4 linked regions of the Callithrix jacchus genome follow. The protein of the gene in region 1 binds, or shares a complex with, the protein of each later gene. Links are inferred from orthologs where the notes say so. Each region holds a gene or a part of one and is shown in the gene's direction. Other genes may lie near its edges.

Region 1 (6,001 bases):
CTGAGTAGAGTCTGGGGGAGGGTCCCCACTTTCTTGTATCTTCTTCCCACAGGTTGCTTTTGTTGTACTGTCTTTCAATAAAAAGCTGTTTGGTCTAAAAGTCTTGGGGGGAGTGTGTGTTGTGTGTGCTGTGGGAATGGGGTGTCTTCATTTTAAGTGGGGTCATTTGCACACTCCACTTCCTTGCTTTGTGGTTGGGCAAATAACTGGGCCTTACCTAAATCTGTTTTCCCATCTAGGTAATAGTGATAGTGCCTGCCCCAGAGGGCGTTTGAGGGGAATGTGTGTGAGAAGACATCCGAAGGAGATCAGAGCAGAGCTTATCGTGATTGCTGACATATCTTATTCAGACATGAATTATGCTGAGTGAAAATCACAGTGTCTTCCAGGAAACCTACATTCCTCCTGCAGTGCAGGATACAGTGCTTGATGGTCCTTTTTCTTTCTTCTGTTTTTTTTTTTTTTTTTTTTTTGAGATGGAGTCTTTTTTCTTTTTTTTTAATTGAGTCCCAATTGAGACTGCCAAAAACTGCCAATGCTGATTATATTTTAAGTCATCATGGTGAGGTATTGGGAAAAGTTTTCAATGAGCAATAATCGTGCCTCAGATAAACCTCATTGGCTACAATACTGCCACTGCGCAAAGTTGAGATGGAGTCTTGCTGTGTCACCAGGCCTGAGTGTGGTGGCACAATCTTGACTCACTGCAACCTCTGCCTCCCGGGTTCAAGCGATTCTCCTGCCTCAGCCTCCTGAGTGGCTGGAATTATAGGTGCATGCCACCACACCCAGCTAATTTTTTTGTATTTTTGGTAGAGACAGGGTTTCACTATGTTGGTCAGGATGGTCTCAATCTTTTGACCTTGTGATCTGCCCACCTCAGCCTTCCAAAGTGCTGGGATTACAGGCGTGAGCCACTACATCCAGCTGATGGTCCTTCTTTTCTGTTTGAGATGGGGTCTCGCTCTGTTGCCCAGGCAACCTGAACCTCCTGGGCTCAAGCAATCCTCTTGCCTCAGCCTCCCAAGTAGCTGGGACTACAGGCATGCTTCACCACACCTGGATAACTTTTTAATTTTTATATTTTTTATAGAGATGTGTCTCACTGTATTGCTTAGGCTGGTCTTGAACTCCTGGCTTCAAGTGATACTCCTGCCTTGGCCTCCCAAAGTGCTGCAATTACACGTGTGAGCTACAGTGCTCAGCGGTCCATTCTCTTGAGCCCTGACAGCAGTGACAGCAGGATTGCTGTAGCTTTTCCAATGACGTGGGGCAGGAGTGGGTGCAATCTTAAAGAGACTGGAGCTTAGTACCCAGAACCTGCTTCCCTTCCTCATTAGATATTCCTGTCTTTTTACAAATGTAAATGTATTATAAAACATTTCATCAATAAGATGAAACCCCGTCTCTACTAAAAATACAAAAATTAGCCGGGCATGGTGGCGTGCGCCTGTAGTCCCAGCTACTCGGGAGGCTGAGGCAGGAGAATTGCTTGAACCCAGGAGGCGGAGGTTGCGGTGAGCCGAGATCGAGCCATTGCACTCCAGCCTGGGTAACAAGAGCGAAACTCCGTCTCAAAAAAAGAAAAAACAAAACATTTAAGGCCGAGCGTGATGGCTCACACCTGTAATCTCAGCAGTTTGAGAGGCCGAGGTGGGGCAGATTATTTGAGTTGAGTTTGAGACTATACTGACCAACAGGGTGATACCCTGTCTCTACTAAAAATACAAAAAAATTGGCCGGGTATGGTGGCAGGCTCCTGTAGTCCAGCTACTTGGGAGGCCGAGGCAGGAGAATTTTTGTATTTTTTAGTAGAGATGGGGTTTCACCATGTTAGCCAGGCTGGTCTGGAACTCCTGACCTCAGGTGATCCACCCGCTTCGGCCTCCCAAAGTGCTGGGATTACAGGCGTGAGCCCCTGCGCAGCCCCTGCGCCAGCCTTAATTTTAATTTTTATTTATTTTGAGAGAGCCTCCTGTTGCCCAGGCTGGAGTGCAGTGCCGCAATCTAGGCTCCTTGCAACCTCTGCCTCTCCTGCCTCAGCCTCCCCAGTAGGTGGGACTAGAGGGGCGCCCCATAACTCCTGGCTAATTTTTATTTTTTTAGTAGAGACGGGGATTTCGTCATGTTGGCCAGGCTGGTCTTGAACTCCTGACCTCAGATGATCCGCTGCCTTGGCCTCCCAAAGTGCTGGGGTTACAGGTGTGAGCCACCGCGCCTGGCCAGAAGGTTTTGAGGACTGGCTTTTCAGGTCGCTTTCTAAGCCCCAGTTTCCATTTTTGACAATTGGGAGGCGAAGGCCGATGCCCTTACACGTGAGACAAGCGACCTGACTCCTGACTTTTTTTGGGACAAATCAGGCAGCCAATGATTCCCTTCATTATGGCCTCTGCTTTACCTCTAGGCAATCTGACCACTTCCCTTGCTGCATCCTTTGCCTCGGCGGTGGCGCTCCGCACGGCCCAAGTTGGGCGTGGTCCAGATGACTTTGGATCCCAGTTGGTGCCCCCAGGGACATCAAACAGAATCGTTGGGGCAAACGTGCCTGCGGCAATCCGCCCGAAGCCTTTGGTCTATTTCGGGCTTCCGTCCGCCCGCCCCTCCTCTGCGTTCCCATTGGCTGTAGCTCCGGCCCGGGGCGGGAATAAAGGGAGCAAGTGGGTGGGGCCGCGTGGCGTCAGCGCAAGATGGCGACCTCGGTAGCTCTGTTATCGCGCTTGCGGAGCGGGCTCCGGCTAGGCTTGCGGGGACTGTGCACGAGGTTGGCGACGCCGCCCCCCCGGGCTCCGGATCAGGTGAGCGGAACGAGGGTGGCGCTCTGAATGTGGGGTCCCCTCCCTGGAGTTACGGACATATCGCCGCGGCTTGGAGGTTCTGGGACGCCGCACCTCAGGGTGCTGAATAAAACGTCGCTTGGGTTTTGGGCCCCTTCCCAGCCTCCTGGGTGAATAGCACTTGCTCCCCTGGCCTGGAGGCTGGGGGCCCAGGTGTGTCCTCCAGATCCCACCTCCCACCCACGTGGGCGCCGGAGGAGGAGGGGGTTACCTGTTTCCCATCTCAGTGACCACTCAGGTGATTATTTGAGCAGGAGGGGAGTGGGACGCTGGAGTCCCAGCCTGGCCTTGGGAGTTATTTTTACTCCCAAGGTGGTGGTGGTGGTGGTGAGGGTGGTGAGGTAGACGTTTGGATTTCCAATTCGACCTGCCTCCATGTTGTCAGAGACCCAGCCATTCTGACCTCCAAGTCTATCACTTCTGTGTCCTAGTTCCCCAAGCCCCAGACAAGTGATTGCCTCTCGCCGCCTCTGCTCCCATCCCTTACCCTGTACTCTGCTACCTTTTAGCCCCAAGCAGCCAGATGTCATAACTCCCGGTCCTGTCTGCCCCTTCCCGCCCTCCCACCCCTCCCCCTTGTGCCCTGCGTTCCTTCACATCCCAGAGTTTAGGCCTTCCCATCCCTTATTCTCCCTGATCTGCTTTTCCGGGCTCCACACCCTCTAGTCGTGTTGTCTGCAGGATCCTGTGCACCTGGCCTGTTGGCTCTTAAAACTCTTGGCATCCTGGCGCTGGACAGTCTGGTTTTGACCCTCTGAGCAGCCCCACTTCCTGACTGCCCCTCCAGGGACACAGACGTCCAGGCTCTGTGGGTGTCTGCCTCTTGACTCCTGAACTTGATTCTTCTTGGACTGGAATGCTGGAACGATCAGCTCTTCTCTCTTGACCTCCCCTTTCTCAACCGCAGGTCGCTGAGATCGGGAGCCGCGGGGGCACTCAGGCACAGGGGCCACAGCAGCAGCCGGGCTCAGAGGGTCCCAGCTATGCCAAAAAAGTTGCTCTCTGGCTTGCTGGACTGCTTGGAGCTGGTGGGACCGTGAGCGTCGTCTATATCTTTGGTGAGGGACATATCGCTGCCCCCTAGTTTTATTCCTTGCCTCCCTCGTCCGCTGTGGAACCTCTCACTCTTACCCACTCAAACCTCTCCATCTTAATTCCCTGGCTCTCCTCCATAGGGCAGCCAAGTAGGACACCTACCTTTGAAAACCAGGGAATTCTTCTCCCTTCTACCTCTTAAGGTTCTAGTCTTTCTAGTTGGTTCCTGTACCAGGATAGAGGAAAGAGGGGAAGATGGGGAAGGATAGGCGTAGATCAGCTTCCTAAACTTTGTCTTTCCTCAGCACCCAAAAATCCAGCCTTCCCACTAGTTCCTTTATCCCTCAGACTCAAGAGACACAGACCCAGCCCCCTTTCTCTCAAAGACCCAGGAATCTTGGCTCCCAGCCCCCTCCTGGCTTGAATCCAGAAGGCTGTGCCTCTAACTCTCTTCCCTCAGATCCAGGAGTCCAGGCCTCCTATCCCACTCCTCCCTCAGGACCTAGGAGACTGCACCCCAATTCCTCATATTCATCCTGGTTTCCCTTGCAGGAAACAACTCTGTGGACGAAAAAGGTGCCAAGGTGAGGGGAAAAGAGACTGAGGCCTTGCCAGGAGTCCTAGCCTGTGGGTGAGAGGGGTCCCCTTTGGTTTGTTGAGGCTCATTGCTGGTCTGGAGTGAGCCTTTCTTTCCTAAGGACCTTTGCTTATTCCTCTTGGGGTCCTGGAGATTCCTTTTATGGGTGTGATGAGGTTCTGCCTCTGACATCCTAAACCTTCCATTTTTCTCTCTACCTCCCAGATTCCTGATGAATTCGACAATGGTGAGTAAACAAGCACAGATTCTGGAGTCCCCGACCCTCTCAGCTCTGTCATTTGTAAGGATGTGTCTTTCCCCATCTGGTGTCTCTGGCCCCTCCTCCTTCCATTGGGGAGGTTGGGGAGCCAGCAGCTGGATAGCTTTGTGGGGAGGGACTTTACAAAGCCCAAGCCCACTTCCCTGGCCCCTCAGCCCTGAGCAGATGGTCAGGGACAGATGGGGGTGGGGAGCCTTGGGTGGGAGGGCCTGGGGACACAGGGTGGCCTATCTCCAGACACGTGGGTTCCTGTGCCTTAGACTGAGCATCTGCAGCTCCCAACTCTTTACCCAACCCCCCCAAGCCCCTACTCCATTAGTCTCATTTTCAAAACAATGCCTCCTTCCTCCCACCCCATCTGGTTAACCAGCTTTTGGTGCTGAAATTTCTGACAAATTGGATAGTAGAGTAGTTGTCAGTCTTGTCAAATGAAATTGGTGGATCCAGAAAGCCACCTGTTTATGTGGGGACATTTGCAAACAGTCATGTTAATACAGTCTTTCACACTGGGCAGGTGAGTGAGTGCTGGTTTGACTGGGCAGATTAGAATCTTGCTAGCTTCAACAAATCACTATGCTGATTTAACTTGGGCAGGAAAACCTGGAGGTTTAAAGTGTATATGTTTACTAGTCTAACTGCTTTCGATATTGTGGGGTTTTTTTGTTTTTGTTTTTGTTTTTGACAGAGTCTTGCTCTGTCACCCAGGCTGGAGTGCAGTGGCGCAATTTTGGCTCACCGCAACCTCCACCTCCCAGGTTCGTGTTTCTCGTGCCTCAGCCTCCTGAGTAGCAGGGACTACAGGTCCATACCACCACGTCCAGCTAATTTTTTTTTTTTTTGAGACGGAATCTTGCTCTGTCGCCTGGGCTGGAGTGCAATGGCGTGATCTCGGCTCACTGCAACCTCTGCCTCCTGGATTTAAGAGATTCTCCTGCCTCAGCCTCCCGAGTAGCTGGGACTACAGGCACCTGCCACCACGCCCAGCTAATTTTTTGTATTTGTAGTCGAGACAGGGTTCCACCATGTTAGCCAGGATGGTCTTGATCTGACCTCATGATCTGCCCACCTCAGCCTCTCAAAGTGCTGAGATTACAGGTGTGACCCACCACTCCTGGCCAAATATATTGTGTTTTTTTAAGAGATGGGCCCATGTATTACATTAAAAACACTGTATTGAAGTAGGCAGCCATGTATGTTTACTGTTTTATACTGGATTCATTAGCTGGGAGTGGTGGCCTTCAGCCTGTGGCCCCAGCTCCTCAGGAGGCTGAGGTG
Region 2 (4,841 bases), on another chromosome or scaffold:
AAAATGACAGGAATTAATTGCCAGAGGGAAGACAGCCTTAAAGTTGAGATAATTTTTTTAACGTATTTCTTTTTCTCTGATGTCGGGGTCCGGCACGTCTGCCTGGGGACTACCGACCCGCAGGAGTCCCCAAGACCGCCAACGTAGATGTCTCGTTCAACCTGAGGGAGAGAGTGCGGGAAAGTGAAAGAAAATAGAAAAGTGGAGTCTGGAGGGCTGGCTTAGGCTATGTCCAAGCAGCAATTTTATTTTTGCAATACATTTCATGATATACTTTTCTGAAGCCAAAGTTGTTTACACCAGATCAACGTACTTAAGTTACAGTAAGCAAGTTACGCCCACTAAGTTACGCCCAGTAAGTAAGTTAATCCCATTAAGTAGGTTACGCCCAGTAAGTAGGTTACTTTCAGTAATTAGGTTACGCCCAATAGATCAATGTAAGTAAGTTACAGTCATGCCCAGTAAGCTATGGGAAGTAAGTTACAGTTACACCCAGTAAGTTATGGTAAGTAAGTTACCAAGTGTAAATACTTAAGTTAATATTTTACAATGAAGGTAACAAGGGTCCAAAATGAACACAATCAAGCAATAAACCATAAGGAGCCGAAAGTGGACACATTGACTCCCAAGTCCTCATATCCATAAAGTAATGTCTGTTAACTATTTAGAATAACATAGTCCCTCTCTCAGTTCCTGCTTTCCCTCAGCTCGACTCCCCCAACCGGGGATCTGTGTCCGGGCTCAAGCTTACCGTATGGCGAGGCCCGTTTCCCAGGGGCCTCACACGGGAGCGATCCCCACAGATTCCCTCACTCTGACCACCTCCCTTCCCAGAAGATTGAAAATGCTGTGGCTTTAATGCCATCTATTTGCCAAGTTCTCTGCAATTTACATATGTAGCCCCATCCCTCCCCTAGATTCCTGGAACTCTCCTTCCTGGATCTTTGGCCAAGTTTCTCATCATCAAGGTCTCAGCATGAATTCCCCCCCTTCAAGAGGCCTTTCCTGACACCTCAGCCCCAATCCTATTTCTTCATGGTGTTTTTGCTAAAGTGCAGATTGCTGTTTGAAGCTCCCTTGTTTATCTACCCTTGCCTCAGGATCTGTGTCTCCCACTGTTAATGTGACCTCTGAGAGGGCAGGGAGCAGATCTACCTTGTTCGTGGCTGTATCCCTGTATATGGCATGGTGCCTGGCACATGGCACATATAGTTAGGTACTTGTTTTTTTTGTTTTTTGTTTTTTGTTTTTTTTTTTAGAGACGAGGTTTCACCATGTTGGCCAGGATGGTCTCAATCTCCTGACCTCGTGATCTGCCTGCCTCAGCCTCCCAAATTGCTGGGATTACAGTCGTGAGCCACTGTGCCCAGCGGCGGTACTTGTTAATCATTTACTGAATGAATGAACAAATATATGAATGAATTAGTACTTGTCAACTCAGCTCTGAGAACATCCATTTTGGGGCACTCTCCACACCCCTAGTTCTTGGCCACTTCTCCACATCTCTATGGCTGATACCTCTAACAGATCTCCCATCTTCTTCCCTCTTTTAAAAGCTGGAAACCCATCTGCCAGTGGCTTCAGCCCTGCTCTGACTCCCTTTCTTCCTTTCCCCAGGGAATTCGGCACCGGTTGAGAGGTAGTGCCAACGCTGTGAGGATCCGAGCCCCCCAGATTGGAGGTGAGGGGCTTGGGGATATAGATATAGGAGATGTCTTGGCAAAGATGAGAGTGGTTGATCCTTCAGGTCTAGGCTTCAAGTTGGGGGTTCAGATTCTAGCCCCTGCCAGAGACTTTCCAGGGTTGTGTTGTTTTCTAACAATTGAATATGGAGGGGAAGAAAGTGGGTTCTGGAGTTTAAATTTAGGTCCTGACTCTTCCCTGCCATGTGACCTTGGGCTAGTGGCTTAACCTCTCTGAACCTCACCTGTTCTATGGGGGTGGTGATAACAGTAACCACCTTATCAGTAGTTTTGTAGTTTATGTAATTTACATACTACTAAGTGCTTGTTGCTATGCTAAACATTTTAATAACATTAACTAATTTAAAATTGCAGAAGTCAACACAGTACCTCAAACAGGTCCTGGCACACAGTAAGCCCTCAGTAAACATTTTAACTGATTAATTTTAACATCAATTAACTGGCTTTTCTAACCTATTTTCTTCTCACTGAAACCCAAATCAGAATTCCAACTCTGTGTGGTGATTATGAAGATCAAAATTGCTCTGTTAAAGGCTATATGAAGATATATCTGCTTGTAAACATTTGTCAGCTCCCCATAAAGGTGAAGGGAATGTCGATGGTGATTATAGATGACTTGAAGTGGGAGCTCCCCACAGGATGGGGACAGATAGGAAATACTCTCTGGGGATTTGCTATCTGCCTTTGTGTCTGGGTTTTTTTTCCCTGTTCTTGGCCGAAGCATTCAGGCCTTGGAAGCCCCCTGAGATGTGAATTCTTGGGATTTCCCAGGAACTAATTAGGCCTTGTTCCCACTACAGGTAGCTTTGCAGTGTGGGGGGGACTGTTCTCCACCATCGACTGTGGCCTGGTGCGGCTTCGGGGCAAGGAGGATCCCTGGAACTCTATCACCAGTGGAGCATTGACCGGGGCTGTGCTGGCTGCCCGCAGTGAGTGCCCCCTGGCCCTGGCCCTGACCCCAGCCTCTTCCACCCTGTTCTGCCTGCCCTCACCTCTGTTTCTCTGCCCCCAACTCCCCCAGGTGGTCCATTGGCCATGATGGGCTCAGCAATGATGGGGGGCATCCTGTTGGCCCTCATCGAGGGTGTTGGCATCCTCCTCACTCGCTACACGGCCCAGCAGTTCCGAAATGGTGAGTACCTGGTAGATGGTGGTGAGGGGAGTGGGAAATGCTCCACTTGGCCTCTTCCACTCATCCTTACCGGATTCTCCCCTCTCCAGCACCCCCATTCCTGGAGGACCCCAGCCAGCTGCCCCCTAAGGATGGCACCCCACCCCCAGGCTATCCCAGCTATCAGCAGTACCACTGAGGAAGCCACTGCCACCATGGGAGCTGCTTCTCAGTTCCCTCCCCGATGATCTACCTCGAAGGGAGGGCTGGCTCCCAGTTAGCCCTGGGACCCTCCAGAGAGGGCTTCTACTCTGCTCCCTAGTCCCAGGGTGGGGATGGGGCACCCCAGCTGCCCTGACAGATGGGTCCCCCTTTTTCTCTCTCAGGGCACCCCAGCCCCACACTCACTGTACCAAGTTCTCACCCCAGCTCCTTTGTGTGGCACCCCAATAAGTATTTAAAGCCCGTTTTGAAAAAAAAATAATAAAGTCCGTTTTGAAATGCCTATGTGTGGACTCCTTGAGCTGCCTATGGGGCCCCTCCATAGGACAAGGAGCAGAGCTTGCTTAAGGGACTCAGAAGCCCCAGACTTGGAGACCCACAGCAAGTGGGCTCTAGTAAATGTCTATGGGATGAATGAACAGGAAGGGAGATTGAAGATGTGAATTAGGGACATGAATAAGGTTGTCTGGGGCCAGGTGATGGGTCTGTCAGAGGAACAAGCCTGGGAAAGAAGGGAGTGAACACCAGGATTGCTGGGGGTGGGGGTGGTTCTGGATGTTGTGCCCCTGACCCCATCCACACACACACACCCCAGTACCCCTGACCCCTGCTCCACAAGCCCCCATCTCCGAGGCTGGGAAATGTGGCCTCACCAGAGTCCTTTCTTTCTGGATGCTCAGCACAGCATTTGTAAAGGTGATTCCCCTCCCTCTGTGTGGCCTCAGGGTGGATCTGGGATGGAAGGAGGGGCCGGGAGACTAGCTCCCTCAAGGTGGCCTGGTCTTTGTTTTGTTGTTGCTGTTTTGAGATGTTCTCTGTTGCCCAGGATGTAGTAGTAGTGGCATGAGCTCGGCTCACTGCAACTTCCACCTCCTGGGTTCAAGTGATTCTCCTTTCTCAGCATCCCAAGTAGCTGGGATTACAGGCGTACACCACCAAGCCCAGCTAAGTTTTTGCATTTTTAGTAGAGATGGGGTTTCACCATGTAGGCCAGGCTGGTCTCAAACTCCTGACCTCAGGTGATCTGCCCGCTCAGCCTCCCAAAGTGTTGGGATTACAGGTGTTGGGGGGGGTGCAGGAGACCAGTTTGACCAGGTCAAGTGTTTTTAAAGGGTAACCACAAAATAACCAGAAATCAGTTTTCATTTTGGGATGAGGGAGCTAGGACATTTTTTTGAGTGGACATGGGTTCTCCCGCCAAAACTGACTTCTGCACAAACCTCTACATGGGTGGGGCAAACACTGCCTTCACTGGGATGCAGATGCCACGGGGAGGCGCAAAAACTTCCTGAGGAGTCACTGGTTTCCTCTGCACAAACTGCTCTAGTTGGGAATGACCTCAAGAGACATGAAAACCGTCCCTTTCTTGCAAGTCATTGCAAGGTGGTGGAAACACCCTTTCTTCATTACAAAACTGGTCCGTGGGGATGCAGAGTCTTCAGCGGTGACAGCTGAGACTCCTGTTTGAGCGACTCAGTGCCGGGCAGTGCGCAGTCCCGCAGCCCTGAGGTGGCAGCACCAGGCGTGCATCTTTGAGACCGAAGCGTCTATCAGACCCAGGGTGTTCCTTGTGTCTCAGGGCCAATACCTCCTTTAGTCCCGCCCGTTCTGGATCCTTGGGCCGGCCTTGCCCCCTGCAGGCCTCCACCTGCGTCGATTTAGCGTCGCCCCAGTAACTCCTGGAGGCCCTTCCCTTCCGCGAGTCCTGGGGCCACTGGGGACTCCACGCGCCCGGGGTCACCGGACCTTCCCCTCGGCCCAGTCCGGGTCCTATCGCTCAGCACCGCCCCCTGAGGCCGCAGCGG
Region 3 (5,883 bases), on another chromosome or scaffold:
GACGTAATCCACCGCACCCGGCCCCTTCTAACCCTTTCGAAAGGTTTCTTCATTTAGCACCCTGGAACCAAGTGGAAGTGAGTATTTCTGAGGAGACATGACATCTTCCTTCTCTACCCAAAAGAGACTAAATCATGGGCCCCAGCCAAAAATGTTGTGTTATCTGCTGCAGTTAAAAGAGATCAAAGACTGAGAAGTCTCTTTGCTCAAAGTTTCTTTAGCCACTTGAGCGAGGCTTCCCAGAGCAGGAAACTCCCTTAGGAGAGGGACTGTTGGAATTAAATGAGCTGGGGAACCACAGCCTAGTAACTGAACTTCAGCTTTGTAAACTCGGAAACTCATCATCACTGTGATGGTTAATTTGATATGTCAACTTGAGTGGACCATACGGTGCCCAGATTAAAAGTTGTTCTAGGTGTGTCCATGAGGATGTTTCTAGATGAGAATAGCATTTGAATTGGTAGACTCACCAAAGTAGATTGCCCTACCCAGTGTAGTTGGGCATTGAAAAGGCAGAGGAAAGAATCTGCCCCTCTTTTCCTGCCTCACTGGTGAGCTGAGATATCTCATTTCACTGCCTTCTGCCCTCAAACTGGGATTTACATTGTCAGCTCCCCTGGTTCTCAGGCCTTTGGACTTGGACCGAACTGCATCACTGACTTTCCTCCATCTCAGCTTGCAGACACAGCTTATTGGACTTCTCAACCTCCATAATCATGTGAGCCAACTACTCATCATAAATAAACATATACTTATTAATTCTATATATTATATATAGAGAGAAACAGAACCAAAAGGAGATATATATATATATATATATATATCCTATTGCACACAATAGGATATGTATATACATATATGCTCTTGGTTCTGTTTCTCTGGAACACCCTGACTATTTTTGGTGATTTAGTCAAAATAACTTAACTCACAAGAGGCAGATACATAAGCCAGTATTAACTACCAAATGGAGAAGAATAGTTATAAACACAGGCTGGGGTATTCTCTACTATTTTGAAATCTATTCAGAAGCCAATTAAGAAGAAGATTGTCTAATAAATTCAGAACAAGAATAAAGGGAGGTAGCTAGAGCAAAGGGATATTTTATCTAGGTCCTGGTGAGATCAGAAAGAATATCTTTGCCCCATGAGTGTGCAAATCTCTAGTTACTGAAATATTTATACCCACCAGGTCTGCAGTGCTGACTAAACATCAGATTCTTGCCCTCTGAATGCCTCCATTTCCCCTCTCCCACAATCTCTCTTCAGCCTGTACGATTAAATAGAGTTAACTATTCTTAATTACAGTCACACTCCAAACAGGTCTTCTCCAACTTACACACCCAAATCAGATGAGTAGTATGAACCATTCTCACACGAAAGACACATTTATTTAGTTCCATGGAGGGGTCAATTCATCTGCTTACTTCATTTCCAAGCTTTTGGAGAGAACCTCACTCCCCTTTGCAGTCTTCCATTATTTATGATATCGACTTATCCATAAAATAAATATATACAAATTTTAAAGTCATTTACAAACACACAGAATGGAGAAGAGCACCTTTAACAGCCATCACATGATTGGGATTTTGTTGACGGTAAACTAAAAGCCCCATGGGTCCCCGCTTTGTTTTTTCCCATTTTCTTGACAGGGTCTCACTCTATCACTAGAGTACAGTGGCGTGATCACAGTTCCTTGCATGCTAGACCTCCTGGGCTCAAGCAATCTTCCCCCCTCAGTCTCCCGAATAGCCAGGGCTGCAGGCACGTGCCACCACCCCCGGCCAGGTCCCCATAAGTCCCCTCTTCTCTGAGCCAAACATCTTCACACCTTCTGGTGATCATTGGTGGAGGGGCCTGTAAGAGGTTCTGGCGTCAATGTGCCTGAATCGAGGGCTCCAAATTGGTCATGGCTCTCCAGATGGTCCAAATAGTTCTATTTCACAAACATTTATTAAGCATCTACTACATTCTAGGCACCGTGGTTATTATAAATCACTAAGACATTGTCTGCCCTAAAGGAGCTACGTGTATTTGGTAACGGCTTCACAATACATGACGAATAAGGTAGCATTAATTTACATTTGACGGCAAAAGTACCAAAAAAGAAAAAAAAAAAGAAAGGAAAGGAAAGGAGAGAAAGAAAAATAAAGGAAAGCAAGCAAGCAAAAGAAAGAAAAGAAATAAAGAAAAAGAAGCGTATTTAGGAAGCATCGGGTTGATCTCGGGCCACGGAACCTCTGGTAACTGGGTAGTGACTCTGTCATTGGTAGCTCTCCGCCCACACAGCCCGGACCCAGGGCCTTCGAGGACGTGGGCGGGGCCAGTCTCGCCACGCCACGGCCAATAGCCCAATCACACGCTAGCCACAGGAATTCCGGCTCCCATTGGCTGCAGGGGAAAACGGTGACCCAATCCTCATACACCTTAACGCTATCCTCTCGTGATCACTTCCGCCTCTGGAGTCAGGCTCCGCCCAGCTGGCCCGGCATCACTCGCGGCGCCGGAGTCAAGATGGAGGAGTACGCGCGAGAGCCTTGGTGAGCCTCACCGCTGTCTTTGCATTTCTCTTGCTCCCGCCCCGCTCACTGCTTTCCTTCTCCCCTGTCCAGGCTTCCAAGTTGCAAGCCAGACTCAACCGCAGCATCGTCGATTTGGGCCTGGTAATGCTGGGCAGTGCGGTCTTTCGCCGCCAGTCTTTTTCTTAGCCCTGTACCCACTATCTCCCTGGCCGCTTGAGCCTCGCTCTCCCAACCCAGCACCCCTGTGACTTTGGGGTGGATGGTGAAGAGGTCCAGACTTGAGTTTGATAGAACCTCGGAACCTTCTCCCAACGCAGGGCGTAGTCTATCTTGTGCGGTTAAAATCCCCTCTGTTCCCGGAGGTGACCTTGGGCGCGTCCCTCCGCCTCGCTTGCTCACTTCCTGCGTTGAGGAACAGAAGATAGGCGTTTGAGGGGGTTCCATTCTTGAGGTTTTACTTGTATCATGATGTGAATCCGCAGAGTGAAGCATTTTAAATGAATGGAACATAAATTTTAGCCAAGGGGTTTGGATAAGCTCCTTTAGGCCGTTGGGCTTTGTTTTCCTCCTTGGAATTCTTTATGGGGGTGGGTGGGGGGGCAAAAATTACCTGGGAAATAGGAAGAGGTAATACCATGTGTTCTCTGAAAATCCATGGACAGAAATTCATTCTTTCATTCAGCGTTTATTGAGCATGAATAAACCACATGCATAAATAATTATAAAAGAATGTAATTGCTGTCAGAAGTCTCAGGTTGCCAGAGTTTAAAGTTTCTGGGGTCATAAGTAAAAAATCAGATCTTGATATTTTGGTTAATCATTTGTTTTATTGTGTAAGAGCAAGAACCAAGATGTCCTCAATTTGTGAAAATGCCCAGGACCTTGAATTTTTACTCTGCTATCCTAGCCCTGTTGCCTGTTTTGTGTTTCCCTCTTTCCCAAATGGCATACAAAATACAAGTTTTAGGGTCTCCTGGCTCTTCAGACTTACCTTCTTCAAAGCGCTTATCCCCATTCTGGATTGTGCTCAGATATGTAGGACTCAGCATACTGTAAATAGCTGTTTGATGTACTGTAATGACACAGGTTAGCAGAGGGTTAAAATATTTAACTGTGTTGAGTTAAAGATCTTAGAAAAATAATGGGTTTTCATTTACTAAATTACTAGGTAGCCCCTTTGCTTTCACTTAGTACACATGTCCTGAAACAATATATATAATCAGTTACCTGGTTAGCTTTGTAGTCAAATCTGCTTTGATTTTCTGACTGGCCTGTTTGATTACAGCATTTCCTGAAGTTATTTTATAGGCCAAATATTTATTGATTGCAGCAGGTCCTGCAGTATAATCTGTTCCATTCCCTTACTGCATTAGCAAAGAAGGTTTTATGATTTGTGAATGAGAAATATGGTCATCTTTTTTTTTTTGCCCCGTTCTTAGCCCATGGCGAATTGTAGATGACTGTGGTGGGGCCTTTACGATGGGTACCATTGGTGGAGGCATCTTTCAAGCAATCAAAGGTTTTCGCAATTCTCCAGTGGTAAGTGAGTGAATGGTCTTATTTTATCACCATTTGAAACTTGGGTTTGATGGTATTACTGGTGGGCCCATCAGTGGCTTAGAAATGTACTTCTAATATGGTTTTGGTTGCTTCCTTTGTTTTGTTATAGGGAGTAAACCACAGACTACGAGGAAGTTTGACAGCTATTAAAACCAGGGCTCCGCAGTTAGGAGGTGAGCAGAATTTTCCTTTTTACTGAACTATTTTTTCCTGTTTATTTGAAGATGGAGCTATTTTTTATTTTTAGATTACAACAATTAATGATTTTAGTTTGGTCTAACAGTTTGTCACAAACATATATCCCCATAGTTCTTTCTTGAAAAGTTAACCTGAATTTTATGATACCCATTTGAAAATCTTGTCTCTGTCCTTTAGATACTGAGTGATTTTTTTTTTTTCTTTCTCCAGAAGAAAGACAGCGTGTTTAAAGCTCAGGTTTGAGGCCAGGTGAGGTGGCTCATGCCTGTAATCCCAGCACTTTGGGAGGCTGAGGTGGGCGGATCACCTGAGGTTAGGAGTTAGAGACCAGCCTGACCAACATGGAGAAGCCCAGTCTCTACTAAAAATACAAAATTAGCTGGGTGTGGTGGCTCATGCCTGTAATCCCAGCTACCTGGGAGGCTGAGGCAGGAGAATCACTTGAACCTAGGAGGTGGAGGTTGCAGTGAGCCAAGATTGCACCATTGCACTCCAGCCTGGATAATGAGTGAAACTCCGTCTCAAAAAAAAAAGCTCAGGTTTGTGAGTCAGAAATGATGGCTTCTGAGGTAACATAAAGCTGAAAAGAATATGAGCTGAAGGATTGGGGTTTCATGCAGGAGAAACTGATCAAGCTGATTGGGCTCTTCTCTAATGTGAGCTTTTGGACACTGCAGAAGTCATCGCAAAATTTGAAAAGATTCTATTTCTTGTACTTTGTAAACTTAGTTATTCAGAAGCTGGGAAAAGGGAGGTGATGAAAAAATGTTTGTAGGTTATATTCCCTTACAAAGGTATAGTCAGGGCTGGGTGCGATGCTTCACACCTGTAATCCCAGCACTTCGGGAGTCTGAATTGGGCAGATAGCTTGAGCTCAGGAGTTCAAGACCAACCTGGGGAACACGGCTGCCCATATCCCTAGAAAAATGCAAAAATTAGCCAGGCGTTGGGGCATGTGCCTGTGGTCTCAGCTACTAGGGAAGCTGATGTGGATGTATCACTTAGCCCAAAGGTTGAGGCTGCAGTGAGATTGCGCCACTGCACTCCATCCGGGGTGACAGAGTGAGACCCTGTCTCAAACAACAACAAAAACAAACAACACAAGGATATAGTTAGATTGGAGAGACTGGATATGAGGCATGAGAAAGACTTAATATTTCAGTCATTCCTTAGAAGTTTTGGGCATCAAAATAATCTCTTTGTTTTTCTTGAGAAGTTAGTAGCCAATATCTACCATTTATTGAGTGCTTAGCATTTGCCAAGCACTCTGCTAAGCGTTTTACAGCATTATTTTATTTAATTCTCACAATAATGAAGAAATTAGTACTATTATTATCTCCCATTTTCCAGACGAGGACATTTAGGCCCTGAGGGTTGAGGTAATGTATCTTTTTCAATTTTTCTCTCTGTAATCATTACCTACCCTGGCAAGTAATTATAACTAGTTTTTCTTTGTTTTAGTATTGGTGTTGTTCAAGAATGATAAGTGGTATTAAAGTCCGCACCAAACCCTGAACCGCTAGTATATGCAAAAGCCATATAGGTTTTTGCTTGTTTTTTTTTTTTTTTTTCTTTTTTTTTGAGAGGCTGCTTCTATCATCTTATGC
Region 4 (5,762 bases), on another chromosome or scaffold:
AAATCATTCTATTTCTGACAGCAGACTTTTCTTTACCAAAAATAATGCATACATTTCCAAATCAGCTTGAAATGCAGATTCGCATGCCAGGCATAATGACAGGTCCTCTAATTAGATCAATCCACCAGGAAGTTCACTCAATTTACAAAGGATAAAAGATTCATCATATAAAAATCATTCTGCTTCCCCCAGTAGAGCACTATGTAAAGACTAATTTTAGTAATAGCAGCAAATTGATTAAAAGTTCAAGTTTCCTATTTAAATTCCTTTCTCTCCTACGTAAAAGAATTTTTGCAGGCACTGTCACCATTCTATCTGTGACAAGGCTTGTGGTTTGTCTAGAATTATAGGTTTTCAATCAAGAACTATTATCATAGCACTAAGCAACGGGGTTGTGTAAGTGGAAGTAATGGAGCCCTAGGGACGACACAGGACATAGTTCTGCAGATGCGGGGGGTAAAACAGGTAGTTCAACTAGTATGTAACAGACTCCCTTTGTATGCTTAAACACGGACTGTTGGGTAATTATAAGGCAAAATATGCACGACTTTCCACATTTAGAAATCGAAGAGCCTTACGAGCACAAAGGTAGTCCTCAAGAACGTAAACCATTCTTAGCATTATCCCTCCATCTGGTAAACTAACTGCAGTGGTGGGTACATAGGTAGGGAACAGCTCGCGATACAAGGACAGGGATTTCATCAGGTACCAATATGCATGCTGATACTTCTGAAGCACTGGAACGTTTTACTTCTTCACGCTGAAGATGCTTCTGGAAAGCAGAGGCAGCCTCCTGCTCCTTTCCTATTTAAGTCCTCAAAATTGCCTTCTCTCTCACTATGGGAGAGGACCATGCTTCACTTCCAGGGAACCCCAAGAAAAACGGAGAGAGGAGCCTCTAGGGAGCAGAACGAGAACACCACAGGCTCCTGCATTTAGACCGAAGACAGGCAGAATGGGACTGGGAGCTGAGCAAGACCTGGCTCTGACGTCGGAGGTGCAGAAAGTGCTGTCCCCCGACTCCCCAAACCAAACTGCCTGCCAGAGGTATCTGCTTGGGGGACGGGGGTGTACACTGGAAAGGTTTTCCTGAGCAGATTCTACTTCCCTACGTTGCACGGTCGTGAGAAAGACGAAGGGAGATTCTTGGTTACAGAAGAGCGAAAATACGAAGGCTGGGGTGGAGCACCGGGAATGTAGGGCAGGAGCCTGGAGAAGCGACTCTTGGCACCTGCACCTGTCCTGACAGGTGAGCGCATCCCCGCGCAGGCGCCGGGAGAAAACAACATTTCCCTGAGAGGCTACTCTACCCCTGTCATAAATCAGGGTGCCCCACGCTGCAGGGTACAAAGGATTTCCTCTGGTCGTTCTTCCAGACCCTTCTCTCGTTGAAGAGAGCCTCGGGCCTTGTGCCCGAGCCTGACGAAGAAAATACAGTGAAAAGAACAGGGCGCGCAGTGAGGGGCTTCCCGCCGGCCCTAGTCACCTGAACCCAAAGACCCTGGAGCGCCCCGGGGCCACGCCAGCGCCCGCGCTGGGCTCGCGCAGCGTCTGGAGGCCCAGCCAGCGATGTCGCAAGATCCGACCGCGTCCAGTCGCCATGGAGACCAGGCGTTCACCACAGGACTGCGCGAGGGCAGAAACGAGGAACGCTTGTTCCAAGATATTCCCCTAGTCGCCACACCCCTAGGCGCATGCGCACGTGGGGAAAAGTTCCGCTGGCCTGGCGCGTGCGCAGACAGCACCGCGCCAGACTCGGCTCAAAGAGCGGGCTTCTAGAAACTTCCGGGCTTGGCTTCTTTACCCACCCCTAACATTCTGCCATCAGGGGCGCCGAGCAAGTCCGCGGCTTATCGTTTAGGAAACCGGAGCCTGATTTGCAGTGGCGTCCCTTCATCTCCACTTGCTGGCTCTTTACTGTCCGGTTTTTCTGATAACAGTGAAACGCAAACACTAAATCATTTGCGCACACAGAATGGCAAGGCCACAGTCAAAGGGAGTATTTCCCATTATGTGGAGTTCTCTCTAGACGGATGAGAAGAACACGTAATTTGCAACTAACTTGGCTTTTGCAAGTACCGCTTGAACCCCTCAGGGTCTAAAATACCAATTGCGCCACAAACGCCCCACTTTCCCGCCGCTCCAACGACGTACAGTATCTGCGCAGGCGCCAGGCGCGGGGGGTGTCTGAGGTCCTGCGCCGTGCTGCGGCAGCCTTGAATTGTGGGAGATGTAGTCTCTTTTGCGCGCCCCAATGTCGCATCCTAGTTAAGAGCAAGGTCTTTAAACTACTATTCCCAGAAAGACGGGGGAATTTTCCAGGTGACTTTGCGAAGGCATGGCAGGGACCCTGTGAATGTCAACCCAGAAGGTAATCAGAGCATTTTAATTCAAATAGAATGAAGACAGAAGGGAAGGTGGACATCAGGTTCTCTGTGGAGACTTTTCGTTTTCATTTACGCTGCTGAAGCTAAGGTTTTTGCCTAACACCCCATGTATGTAAAGGTACAGGCTTGAGTAGGACTCCGGCCGGATGTGAGGTGAACCCTAAAGCTTTCTAATTGTAGTTAGCATCGTCCCTAAGCGGAGCGATTTTTGTGAACATGATTTGTACTTTTCTACGAGCCATACAATATACGGAGAAGCTGCACAGGTCCCCGGCAAAGCGATTACTTTTGCCACACCTTGTGCTTAACAAAGCGTGCTTGAAGACTGAGCCCAGTTTGAGATGGGGGCTTCAATATCAAAAGAAAACAGTGCGACCTAGATGTGTTCTTGGAGTCACCCAGAAAGCCCTCTGGACTCAGGGGCCGAGCTCCCGAAAAGCAAAGGAGGATAGTAGCAAACAAGTGTCGGTGCACAGGAGTCAGAGAGAGGGAACCGCCGTCTCAACAGCACAAAAAGGTAAAAAAATAATAATAATAATGATTGGTCTCTCAAGACAAGAGCTCCCAATACCCTTTTACACCAAGTTCACTGCCAAAGGTGAAAAAGCAATTCACATGAGTTTTTAAAAATCGTTTATAATTTAGAACTAGAACATACAGACCTACAGTTTTCTTTACAGATTGAAACTCAGATTTGAAAGGTGGTCTTTAATATAACTTTTTTGCATTATGTGTGGGAAATTTTTGTCAAGTTTTATTAGCTCTGTTACATATAATAAAGAGTAACTTGATAGTATAAAAAGAGAGATTATTGACGCATAACCAGTAGGGAAAACTTTCAGATGTTACCTGCAATAATAGAAAAACATATAGGGAGGATGGAATGTGATTTGTCAGGGAAAGTCAGAGATATGTTCACAGGTATTTTAAGGTGTGTTTTTTTTTTTTTAATTTTTTCATTTCACGTGTAATTTGTAGGAAAAAAAATAAGAAACAAAGCAATTTATACACCCATGGTTATACCACACAAAGATGACTTTTTTTTAACATTTTGCACTTTCATACACATACTTTTTAATAATTTTAACCCAAAAAATTGAATCATAGTCTACCAATTGTTTTGTAATCTGCTGCATATGCCAAAAATATAATCTAGTTTTTCATTCATAATAGTTCAGCACAAAGGAACAACCCATATGCAGAGGTGAAAGGCATAGAAACGGGCAGGTGTGTCAGGTCATCTGGCTCCGGCAGCAGTGCTGCTGCTTGCACTGCCCACTAGGCCTCCTTAGAGAGCCCTACTGCACCCCGTTCAGAGATGACAGTTCTCGTTACTGAGTAAGTGGATGGAAGCAACATTCCCAAATGTGAAATATGCTGCGTCCAGAATTCAAAGAGGCCTATGAAGCATTGTGTTAGGAGGTATAGGGTGCAACAATTGTCTTTTACTTGCGAAGGCATGTCCTGGCACTCCCCCAGGTAGCCCCACGAGGCCCACTCATGTGTTGGTGAGCCTCTGGATCTTTGTTGGGCCCACCTCTCACACTTGCAACTTGTCTGACTGAGCCTTCTGACACACTTGCCACTTGTTACTTATGGGCTCAAACATGACGGCATAAACATAGTAGACAAATGTGATATTCTGTTCAATGTCCAGAACAGGATTATTCGAATAAAACTTTCTACAGTCATAGAAATGTCCTATATCTGTGCTGTACATTTGGTTAGTTCCTGGCCACTTGTAGCTATTTTGAGCACTTGAAATGTTGTTAAATTATGTGACTGAAAAACTGAATTAATTTAATTTTAATTAATTTAAAATCGAACTGAAATAGCCAGTAGTGGCTACTGTGTTACACAGCCCAGGTCTAGAAGGTGTCAGTCCCTTAAGACTATTATGACAGAGGGTGAGAGAATTAGCAGATCCTGGGCAGGATTATAATAACAGGATAATCCTATTATTATCTGTTTCATGTTACTACAGAGTACTCCTGCTGCTGCTTCTCAGTAGAGACAGGGAAGAAGGCATTCTTCAAATCAATGGCCAATACCATGAGACTGTGTTAATGCACTCCTCTGTAAAGTTACCATATGTGGGATTGCATGTGTACCCTGGCTACTACTTGGTTGAATTTGCAGTGAACCACTGTCATCTCCAGCCCCTATTTGTTTTTTTGTAACGGAAGACTGGTAAATTGCAAGGGACTTTACCACCAGTGGGGACCACCATGCCTGCATTAAGGTCTCTTAATGCAGAATAGCACTCTCTCTGCCATTCCCCATAGATGTGATACTGTTTTTAATTTATTATCTTGGTCACTGGGGCAGTTTTAGAAGCTTCCATTTGACTTTTCCCACGGTGATAGCTCTTAACCCACCTCCAAAAGAACTAAAGTAGGAGTTACTGTTGCCAATTACTCAGTACATCCTCTTGATTTCTACTTTTGGAAATCACAGAAATGATTACCAGGTAAGTCCATGCACCCAGCTATCAGCTTCTTACATGCTGAGGCGGGTCGGAGTGGATCCTTGGACATCACTGTCAGCACAGGTTATGTCCAAGTTGATAACTATAGGTCCTTTTGGTGAAGAACTGGGGGAGTCAGTCACACACACTTTCCTTCTGTAAATGGGCTCCAGGTCTGAAAACTTGCTCAGGTCCAGACTTGCCCTTGGGAACACTGTGTTCTAGTCATCAACTCTTGCTCTGTGCGGGTCAGACACTCCCGACTTGCCATCAGTTATGGTTGCACCCATCTTGGCTTCTGTCTAATACCCCAACCTGGTCTCTGTTTCAGAGTTCTTTTGCTGTCAGGGCATCCTGCTCTGTAAAGATGTAACTGGCTTCCTTGTGGCTTTGGTATTCAGTGTCCTCCAGTTCCTCCTAAGAATATAGTCAGCTGGTGGGTTTTCAGGCTTTATATCTTATGTCTATGGTAGCATCCCCATTCTTCGAGGCTGTTGAGCCTTTCCTCCAGTTTGCCATGGCTGTTCTGTCACTTTTACTTATTATGGACCATCACTGTCTCAAAGTTTACGGGAGCAAACCTAGCCAGCTGCATATCAGTTCCCAGGGTGCTTGCCCGGTTGCTAAATTCATCACAGGAGTGTGCCCCATGCTGATCAATTCTCACGTAGCTGGGTTTGTGTTCTGTGCCCTTGACACACCCCCTTTAAGAGGCAGTGATATGTTATGTATGTTCCCCTGGCTCCCGCTGGTGGGGCCTCCAGCTCCTTCTGTGTATCATTCCTTCTCACCCTTCTCATGCCCAGTTGTGTTCTAATTTGGCCAGGACGGGAGGTGGAGAGACCTCTTGAGGGCAGCATGTGTCTTCCTAGGCAGAAGCCACCCACCCACCCCTTGCCAAGTTTCCA

What was found.
Region 2: TIMM50 (region 1) and TIMM17B share a complex: the UniProt entries of both Homo sapiens proteins name them as parts of the TIM23 complex. The link is inferred for Callithrix jacchus from reciprocal best matches to the Homo sapiens genes TIMM50 and TIMM17B.
Region 3: TIMM50 (region 1) and TIMM17A share a complex: the UniProt entries of both Homo sapiens proteins name them as parts of the TIM23 complex. The link is inferred for Callithrix jacchus from reciprocal best matches to the Homo sapiens genes TIMM50 and TIMM17A.
Region 4: TIMM50 (region 1) and TIMM21 share a complex: the UniProt entries of both Homo sapiens proteins name them as parts of the TIM23 complex. The link is inferred for Callithrix jacchus from reciprocal best matches to the Homo sapiens genes TIMM50 and TIMM21.

What each region holds. Positions count from the first base shown.
Region 1 is NC_133523.1:34,961,157-34,967,157, forward strand, and holds the start of TIMM50 (mitochondrial import inner membrane translocase subunit TIM50), read left to right. Parts: upstream 1-2,671; 5' UTR 2,672-2,687; coding exon 2,688-2,795; intron 2,796-3,741; coding exon 3,742-3,892; intron 3,893-4,421; coding exon 4,422-4,453; intron 4,454-4,671; coding exon 4,672-4,693; intron 4,694-6,001. UniProt on the Homo sapiens protein: Essential component of the TIM23 complex, a complex that mediates the translocation of transit peptide-containing proteins across the mitochondrial inner membrane. Has some phosphatase activity in vitro; however such activity may not be relevant in vivo.
Region 2 is NC_133524.1:49,451,844-49,456,684, reverse strand, and holds the end of TIMM17B (mitochondrial import inner membrane translocase subunit Tim17-B), read left to right. Parts: intron 1-1,617; coding exon 1,618-1,681; intron 1,682-2,503; coding exon 2,504-2,632; intron 2,633-2,724; coding exon 2,725-2,835; intron 2,836-2,924; coding exon 2,925-3,013; 3' UTR 3,014-3,319; downstream 3,320-4,841. UniProt on the Homo sapiens protein: Essential component of the TIM23 complex, a complex that mediates the translocation of transit peptide-containing proteins across the mitochondrial inner membrane.
Region 3 is NC_133520.1:28,979,952-28,985,834, forward strand, and holds the start of TIMM17A (mitochondrial import inner membrane translocase subunit Tim17-A), read left to right. Parts: upstream 1-2,493; 5' UTR 2,494-2,510; coding exon 2,511-2,536; intron 2,537-3,957; coding exon 3,958-4,057; intron 4,058-4,187; coding exon 4,188-4,251; intron 4,252-5,883. UniProt on the Homo sapiens protein: Essential component of the TIM23 complex, a complex that mediates the translocation of transit peptide-containing proteins across the mitochondrial inner membrane.
Region 4 is NC_133514.1:116,565,934-116,571,695, forward strand, and holds the start of TIMM21 (mitochondrial import inner membrane translocase subunit Tim21), read left to right. Parts: upstream 1-2,320; 5' UTR 2,321-2,603; coding exon 2,604-2,904; intron 2,905-5,762. Other genes in the region: FBXO15 (F-box only protein 15), read right to left, coding at 1,487-1,602. UniProt on the Homo sapiens protein: Participates in the translocation of transit peptide-containing proteins across the mitochondrial inner membrane.